2 linked regions of the Xenopus tropicalis genome follow. The protein of the gene in region 2 interacts with the protein of the main gene of each other region in a pairwise test. Links are inferred from orthologs where the notes say so. Each region holds a gene or a part of one and is shown on either strand. Other genes may lie near its edges.

Evidence for each region. The genes of interacting proteins can lie anywhere in the genome.
Region 1: the proteins of itsn2 (region 2) and sos1 interact in a two-hybrid assay, tested with the Homo sapiens proteins (2 studies listed by BioGRID and IntAct). The link is inferred for Xenopus tropicalis from reciprocal best matches to the Homo sapiens genes ITSN2 and SOS1.

What each region holds. Positions count from the first base shown.
Region 1 is NC_030681.2:42,909,061-42,913,289, reverse strand, and holds the start of sos1 (son of sevenless homolog 1), read right to left. Parts: upstream 2,801-4,229; 5' UTR 1,937-2,800; coding exon 1,832-1,936; intron 1-1,831.
Region 2 is NC_030681.2:145,826,535-145,830,629, forward strand, and holds the start of itsn2 (intersectin-2), read right to left. Parts: upstream 2,801-4,095; 5' UTR 2,618-2,800; intron 1-2,617.

The DNA of each region.
Region 1 (4,229 bases), about 100 Mb from region 2:
AATATCTGAATTTTTTTTCTTTACTATTTCACATTTTTTGTTCAGGAGCTCTCTAGTCTGTCATTTCAACTGCTAAAACTAGTCTGTCACCAGATTGCTAGAATCATTGATCCAAATCCATAAAAGTCAAGAATTGGCCTAAATGACAGAATAGAAGACAAACAGAAGAATGGCTGAACAGAAATAAAAGACTGATTAAATATGACAATAAGAACCTAGCAAATACATGTATATACATTTGGTTGTTGGGCTTGGACCTGTGATTTTAGAAAATAGACATATGTTTACATTGCAGAGAAAAAAAAAATATAAATTCATAAAAAAATAATAATTTACTAAGTTTCCCTTTACTAAACCTGTCTGACATGACTCACTCAATTTTTCATTTTCAAAACACTTAGAGGAGGTCTAAAATTTAAACATTGAGGGGTACACTCCCCAGTGATTCTAACTGATATCCTCAGACCCTGAGCCAGAACTCTTCTTGGCTGAAAAACGTGGCAGCCCAGGTACTATTCCAGTGAGCATTGCAATGCCATTTTGCCAAACTTTCCCAAGGATCACTTTCTGTTGGTCTGGGTTGCATGCATGTGCAGACCTTTTATTGTAATGAGTATTACACTAGCAACATAAAAATTAGGTGTATATTTTTTTTTATACAAGTTTTTCATAAGATGTACAGTAATGTGACCGTTATGGCATTGTTCACCTTCCAGACACCAGCAATAATTTTATTCAATTGCTTTTTAATTTGTATTTGTGATTGGTATTCTAATATTGCTTTAAAACAGCTCTGGGAGAGGGTGGAGTCACAGACACTGTAACCTGTTCTAATTTGATATGTCAGTTACTACATTTCTTATCTTGGACTCTGCTGAGTATAATGCTGGAGTTTTATTAAAAGCAGCTAACATTCCACAGCTGCTGCTGATAAATGTATCAACTAATGTAGCAAAATGTAACAGTTCAGGGTCTGCACCTGGATTGCTGAGCTGCCAAACACAAGAGACAGTACCATTAAAGTTTAAACTTCAATTTTAGAAAAATATACATTAGAAATAATAAATAGAAGGCAATTGAAAAAAAAAAAAAAGCCTTGTTGCATCTGAAAATGTCTGTGCTGAAAAAAAAGTGAACAAACCCTTGAACCTGTGGGAAAGGATCATAGTTGACACCTACTTTTGCCCCTTGCAGTACTTAAAATCAGATCTGGCCTTGGTTTTAACAGACATCTAAATATCACAGCCATAAAGAGGACCGAGATTTCATTTCTGACTAGTTGGACCAGCTAAGTTCCATTATACATATCCATTTAATTAGTGTGGAGTGTGAATAAGGCCAGTGACAGGGGACAGCTGTAGTCATTTGACTTTTATGTAAAAGGGGACTTAAAACCCACAAATACAATGCTATCTAATGAATGAAAATTTTAAGAAACTTACCAACATGCAATTCATTAAAATGAAATGATTGGTTTTAAATGTATTTGTGCATGCAATTGCAACTGAAAACTGTATTTTTGTACCATCTCTTGATACTATGTAGCAGAAGCATGATTATTTGGAGGTCTGTTAATTAGCTGCCTTCTGCTACATTGTTTAAAAAGACAGGCCTTGGTATACAAAAGGTCAAGCAGAGTTTTACTTTTCAATAGCAATTACATTTACAAATAACATTAAAACCATTGAAAATGTGTAGCTGAATTATATTGGAAAGTTTATAGGCAGAGTTTTTTAAGGTTCCATGTAACAAAACAGCCTGTGGCCTCTGGGTGTTGCAGAAATAGACTGGTTTGTCACAGGTTGAACATCCATGTTGTAACCCCTCTTACCTTTTTCAGGGCACCAACCAGCAGACCCTTCCATTTGGGGGAGTTCTCCTCACTGAAGAAGTCGTACTGAAACTGTGGGGCCTGCATGACGGCTTCCCTCGGCATTTGTAGAGCTGGGGGCGGATTATCCTAATCCTCACAATGCCAGGTGGGGGAGAAAGGCGCCTGCCAGGTAAGGAGACTGGGTCCTTCAAGTGGGGGTGCCACTTATGCTCCCCCGCCCCGCCAGATAAACTCCACCGCCTTCCAAATGAGCAGATGCCGGCTTTAAGGCAACAAATGATCCATAAGGGTGGGGAAGTTGAAGAAGTTGCCCCTTAAACGGGGCAGCATAGGGCGCACATTTCCCCTTTGGGAGAAAGAGAAGGAGGGGGGCGGCTCATGGACACCGCTTGCACTTGACAGCTGCCTGTACATATATGACAGCTGTGTGTATACATAGGAGATGGGTGGGACTAGGCCGGAGGCACGCACTTGCTTACTCCTAGTCCCGACCTCTCTTAATTCCGGGGTGAGCTAGGAGGCCGCGGATGGAGGTGCGATTCAGGGGCTGCTCTGCCCTCCCGGGCCCACACAGGAGCTGCCAGCGCGCCGCCCCGTCTCTCTGCTAATAACAAAGGCAGACTGGGAAGCTCCAGTGGCGCAGCGTTCTCCTTGAGCATCCAGAAAACGGGGGTCTGGACGGGCGTCACTGGATAAAAAAAGACACCCCGGTTCCCCTCCCTGTTGTCTGCTCCTTCGCCGCCCCTCCTTGTTTACGGCCGACTTCTCTTTCCCTTAGCAGCTCGACCCAGCCTGTGGTAATGATGGCGCAAGAGGACTCTTGATGCGTCACTTTGTTATTATTTTTGTTGTTAGTTTATTCCCCCCACACTCTCGCCAGACAGCAGCGCTCAGCGGCCGTTGGAACAGACTTGTATTGCGACTGCGCGCAATCTAGGGGGCGACAGAAGGGCTGCCTGCCGCCGTCATGTGACCACCGACCTTAACTCCGCCTACGCCTGATTTAGCCACAAGCGCACCACTTTTTTTTTTTTCAAATAGCTTTATTATTATGGTACTATACCTTTGATCAGCGTACTGCATACAAATATGCTGCTCAATACATTCAATGTATTTTCATATAAACCTGCAGTATTGGGGAAACCTTATACATTTTTTGCTTCATTCTCTTGATTTTTCAATTTATGTCAAGTTTACTTACCACAAACCCCTAATTTGCAGGGATAGTTCTGATATTTGTTCCTTGTAAAGCATCTTGTTAGTTTTTAAAACTGTGTACAGTGTCAGACTGATGTGTCTGGGGCTCACTGGGGCTGCCACCTCAGGGGGCCACCCAACCCCAGTCTGAGCTCCTCCACTGCCCCATCCTCCACCCACATGCAGCTTGCGCGTGATATCAGTTCCGCAGTGTCCTGACCCTGTACCTCTAAACCTGCCCCCAGCTCTATCACCAGATTTCCTAAGGAAATCTGCGGGCAGAGACTGGGTGCATTTTTTTTTAAATTATAAATCTAATATATAGGCACTATGTAGCTCTCGTTTTTTGCTATGCTTTAAGGATGGCTCTAAGTGTATAGCCCCATGAGAGGAGACACCAACCCAGTAGTGTAACTACATGTTACTGGGCCCCACAGTAAATTAAATTTAGGACCCCAAAACATTAGTAAATAAATGTATTTATTTGTTAGGGGCCTAAGAAGACTGCTTTAGTAATCTTTCTTTTAAACCTACCTTGATACACACATCAATTTCTTTTTACTTTTTTTTGTTTTTTTGCCCTAAAAGTCCTTTTTGACCAGTAAACAGTGTATCTACTTTTTTCAGTTTATTTGTTTTCAGATAGTACACCAGATATAAAAACTTTTCAGTTGCCATTTTTTTTTATTTTTGACCGGTTTTCTAATATTGAAGTTCAAAGTGTAATTTTTCATCTTCTCATCTCTCTAAAAATCCTCTGGGAAGAGGTCACTATACACTACTCTAATTTCATACATTAGTTATTACATTTCTTACATTTGGCCCTGCGGAGCATAATTTCTGAGTTAAGAGTTGCTAACATTGCACAGATACTGCTGAGAAATGTATCAACTAATGCAGTGCTGTCCAACTTCTGTGGTACCAAGGGCTGGAATTTTTCCGTCATATATGGTGGAGGGCCGATAATGGAAGCTCCCCTTTTTTAAATCACACCCACTTGCTGCCTGTGTGTGCCATACTCTGCCTGCCCTACGCTGCCTGTGTGTGTCATACTCTGCCTGCCCTACCCTTCCTGTGTATGCCATACTCTGCCTGCCCTACCCTGCCTGTGTGTGCCATACTCTGCCTGCCCTATACTGCCTGTGTGTGCCATACACACAGGCAGGATAGGGCAGGCAGAGTATGGCACACACACAGG
Region 2 (4,095 bases):
ATATATATCATAGACCAGTATTAAAGGGGCGGTTCACCTTTAAGTTTAACTTTTATTACGTTATAGAATGGACAATCCTTAGCAACTTTTCATTTTTATAGGTTTTGAATTATTTGGACCATCTTCTTCTATTAGAAGCAACTACTTGACGCCAGAAAATCCCCTGCCATAGACAATACTTAGAATTGCCTCTGCTAAAACACACAGACAGTTATCTGTAAATGATCAGAATTGTCTGCTTCTGTAGCCACAACAAGTAGCTGCTACTAGTAGCTCCGTGTGTCCTCACCCTAAAATAGGGTCCCTAGCAGCCCATAAACTACTATATGAGGCTACAATTTTATTGTTACGGTAATTTTTTATTACTTATGTTTCTATTTAAACCCTCTTCTATTCATATTCTAGTCTCTCATTGAAACCACTGCCTGGTTGCTAGGGTAATAATAATCTGGTATAGCAACCAGATAGCTGCTGAAATTCCAAACTGGAGAGTTTCTAAACAAAAAGCTAAATAATTCCAAACCCACAAATAATAAAAAATGAAGAGCAATGGAAAATGGTCTCAGAATAGCACGCTCTATATCATACTAAAAGCTAATTCAAAAGATAAACAACACATTTTATTATATAGTAACAACACGTTTCAGGCCCTTTTTAAAGTGTGAACCCAGGACCCCCAGTTCTACAGACAGTGCTAACCTGGGAGCCACCTATGATAACAGGCCATGACATCGAGGATTTAGCATAAATTCTCAGTAATTGAATAATGGCCCAGTCCCCAGCTGATCCCGCTAGCTAATTCCCCTGTGACTATGCAAAAGGAAAACATTACAGAGCAATCACAGGGGAATGTGTTCTCCAACAGCAGCAGGTTACATTATTGTTTGGAAAGCTCTTTCATCTGGCCCTCAAGGCCAGCCAAGCGCCCGGCTATATGGTCTGACAATTCTTTTTTTTTTTATTGGGGGAGGAGCTTAATCTTATTCAGTTCCAGGACCCTGGCAGTGTAATCAAGATCCACCTGACCTATAATAGCCCCCAATCTTCTTTTCTGCTGATTCCCTGCCCATACTCTGTGCTGCTGTCACTTACCTGAGCTTAGGGGCCCACTCACTATATACTGTATATATAGAATATAAATGTCTCACTATCCTGTATATATAGAATATACATGTCACTATACTGTATATAGCATTTACATGTCACACTATCCTGTATATAGCATATAAATGCCACAATATCGCCTGAGATTAGGGACCCACTCACACTATCCTGTATATATAGAATATAAATGTCCCACTATCCTGTATATATAGAATATAAATGGCACACTATCCTGTATATATAGAATATAAATGTCACACTATCCTGTATATATAGAATATAAATGTCACACTATCCTGTATATATAGAATATAAATGTCCCACTATCCTGTATATATAGAATATAAATGTCCCACTATCCTGTATATATAGAATATAAATGTCCCACTATCCTGTATATATAGAATATAAATGTCCCACTATCCTGTATATATAGAATATAAATGTCTCACTATCCTGTATATATAGAATATAAATGTCACACTATCCTGTATATATTGATTATAAATGTCACACTATCCTGTATATATAGAATATAAATGACACACTATAACCTGAGCTTAGGGACCCACTCACAATATACTATATATAAAACATTAATTTCACAATACAAGGCTAATTCAGACTCCAATTACACGGCAGATCAGAAACCAATGCATTCTGCCTCAATTTAAGAATCAGCTTCTATGACAGAGGAACCTCATTTTCTGTTTCACCCCTAAGCTTAGCTTCTCAACAGCAGCCCAGAGCACACTGAGCATGTGCAATGCCACTGACACTTAAAGCTGGCCTAACAAAATCCAAGATGGAGAAAACGTTGAAGGCCTAGATCATTACAATTATAGGATTGTTAAACCTCTAGGTACAGTGAGTTCAGTATATTCAACAGAGCATTTCCAGCTAAAATCTTTTCTTGGCCTTAAGTTCTCCTTTAATCCACTTGGCCTTAATAAGGACTTACATGTGGATACAAACAAATGCAGTAAATCCAGCCATGTGTCCAAAGCAACCCACACACTGCATCTATTTCCAGTCTTCCCCTAAGGGGCCCCCTATGAACCAGAGGGCCCAAGGCAAACACATTTCAGCCCAGCCCTATAGCAGACAGTAATGGTGTTAGTATAGTGTTGGGCCTGTTGCTTTGAGAAGAGAAATGGATATGTTACACTTGCAGAAGCTCCCAGGCACCCCCCCGCATCAGTCACACTCACTATGGCATTAGCCAGCCATACACAAGCCTGACAGCCGGACACACGGCCACAGATACCCTATAATCACACAGCTATCTCCAGGGATATGCAGCCTTCTTCTGCGTGTTTCTAAACTACAACTCCCAGTATGCCCTGCACGGCGCTGCTATGTGTAGATGTTGAAGTTTATGTAACAGCTGTGGCGCCGAGGGCTGTCAAACGCTGCCATGCACATGGACGAACGCAGCTGTGACAGGTCCCCCATTGCGCACACTGCACCCCACTTCCCCCACACACCTGCCAGAAGCACCCCGGGTACTGACCTCCAGTGCTGCGCGTCTCTTCCTGCTGAGACCAAGCGCTGCCAGCCTCTCTATGCCTTGAGCACCATTTCCCTACAGCAAGCCCCACAGGACAAACCAGTTCCGAAAGCGCAGCCGTCACACGCCCTGCGTCAGGCCGAGTTGCCCAATGACAAGGTGCGCCGCTGGGCAGAGAGAGCGGGAGGGCGCCAGCAGGTGTATTGCTGCTGTTGATTTGCTGGTGCTTGGCAGCTCGCCGTGGCGGAGTCATTCGGTCGGTGTAAAACGAAAAAAAGCAGTGGACGTGATTAGCTTTTACAGGGAGTCATAACATTGGAACAGTGTGGGTTTTACTTATTCGGGTATTTATGTGCAGCCCGGGGCAAATTGGCATAGTGTGCACTAAATAAATAGAATTTGTATGCCAGGGGTGTGGAGTTTCATTAGCTAACAAGGGGCAATGCAGTAGCAGGTTGCAAGTTTGCTCCGTTCGCAGTAACGCATAGCAACCAATCAGTAAGCGGCATTCACTAGTCTAAGGAACGCAAATGTTGCTGAAGTTACTCCTGAGGCAATGTTTGCACCTGTAATTCATAAAAATTAACCTTCCAATATGCCCTGACTACACGCACAGTTTGGGCCAAAACTGCCTTTATCTGAGGTAATTTTGGATGGGTTTTTGGCCTTTTTCAGTTGGAGTTAACACTAATTTCAGTGCAAATTATGGTTAGAGTGAGACTGGGCTGTTACTGTGGTGACCACTGTTATTACATAGTAAGTTAGGTAGAAAAAAGACGTACACAAACACACATTTTTTCGGACTCTGCCTATTTTGTTTGAATCCACCCCCCCCATGCTTCCCATAATACACAACTTAATTAATATTAACCTTCGCTCAGGGCCGGAACTAGGGGTAGGCAGAAGAGGCAGCTGCCTAGGGCGCAACGATTGGGGGGCGCCAGGCAGGCATCTCTTCTGCCTACCCCTAGTGCTACTTTGTCATTGCCTCCGCTGCTTGTCATTAGCGGCGGAGGCAATGACCGATCTAATCTCACCGCCCCCCCCTGCACCTCCTCCTGTGCTTTGGCGCGCATGCGTCGTTGGGGGGGCGGAGTTGGCCGACCGGGTTGCCTAGGGCGCCCGGTCGGCTTGGCCCGCCCCTGCCTTCGCTGTTAAAAAAGACCTAAAACCCACCCATAATTACATCAGTTACACATCGCTGTGCGTAATCAGGGTCAGACTGAGGCAGTAGCCCCAGTGGGCCCTGCACCCCTGAAGGTGCCCTTGCCATGTCCCACACACCCTGCACTGTGCCCACCTAACCCCCCACCCCATGTCCTCCCCTGAGTGCAAAACTTACTTTCAACGTGTCAGGGGAGGGACACTGGCGGCTGGGGGATTGGCGACAGGGATCTGGTCTGGGCCGCTGGGGGGTCCACCTTTTTTTTTCCCAGATGCCCCGTGGCCCAGTCCGACCCTGAGCATAATCAGGTGCATGG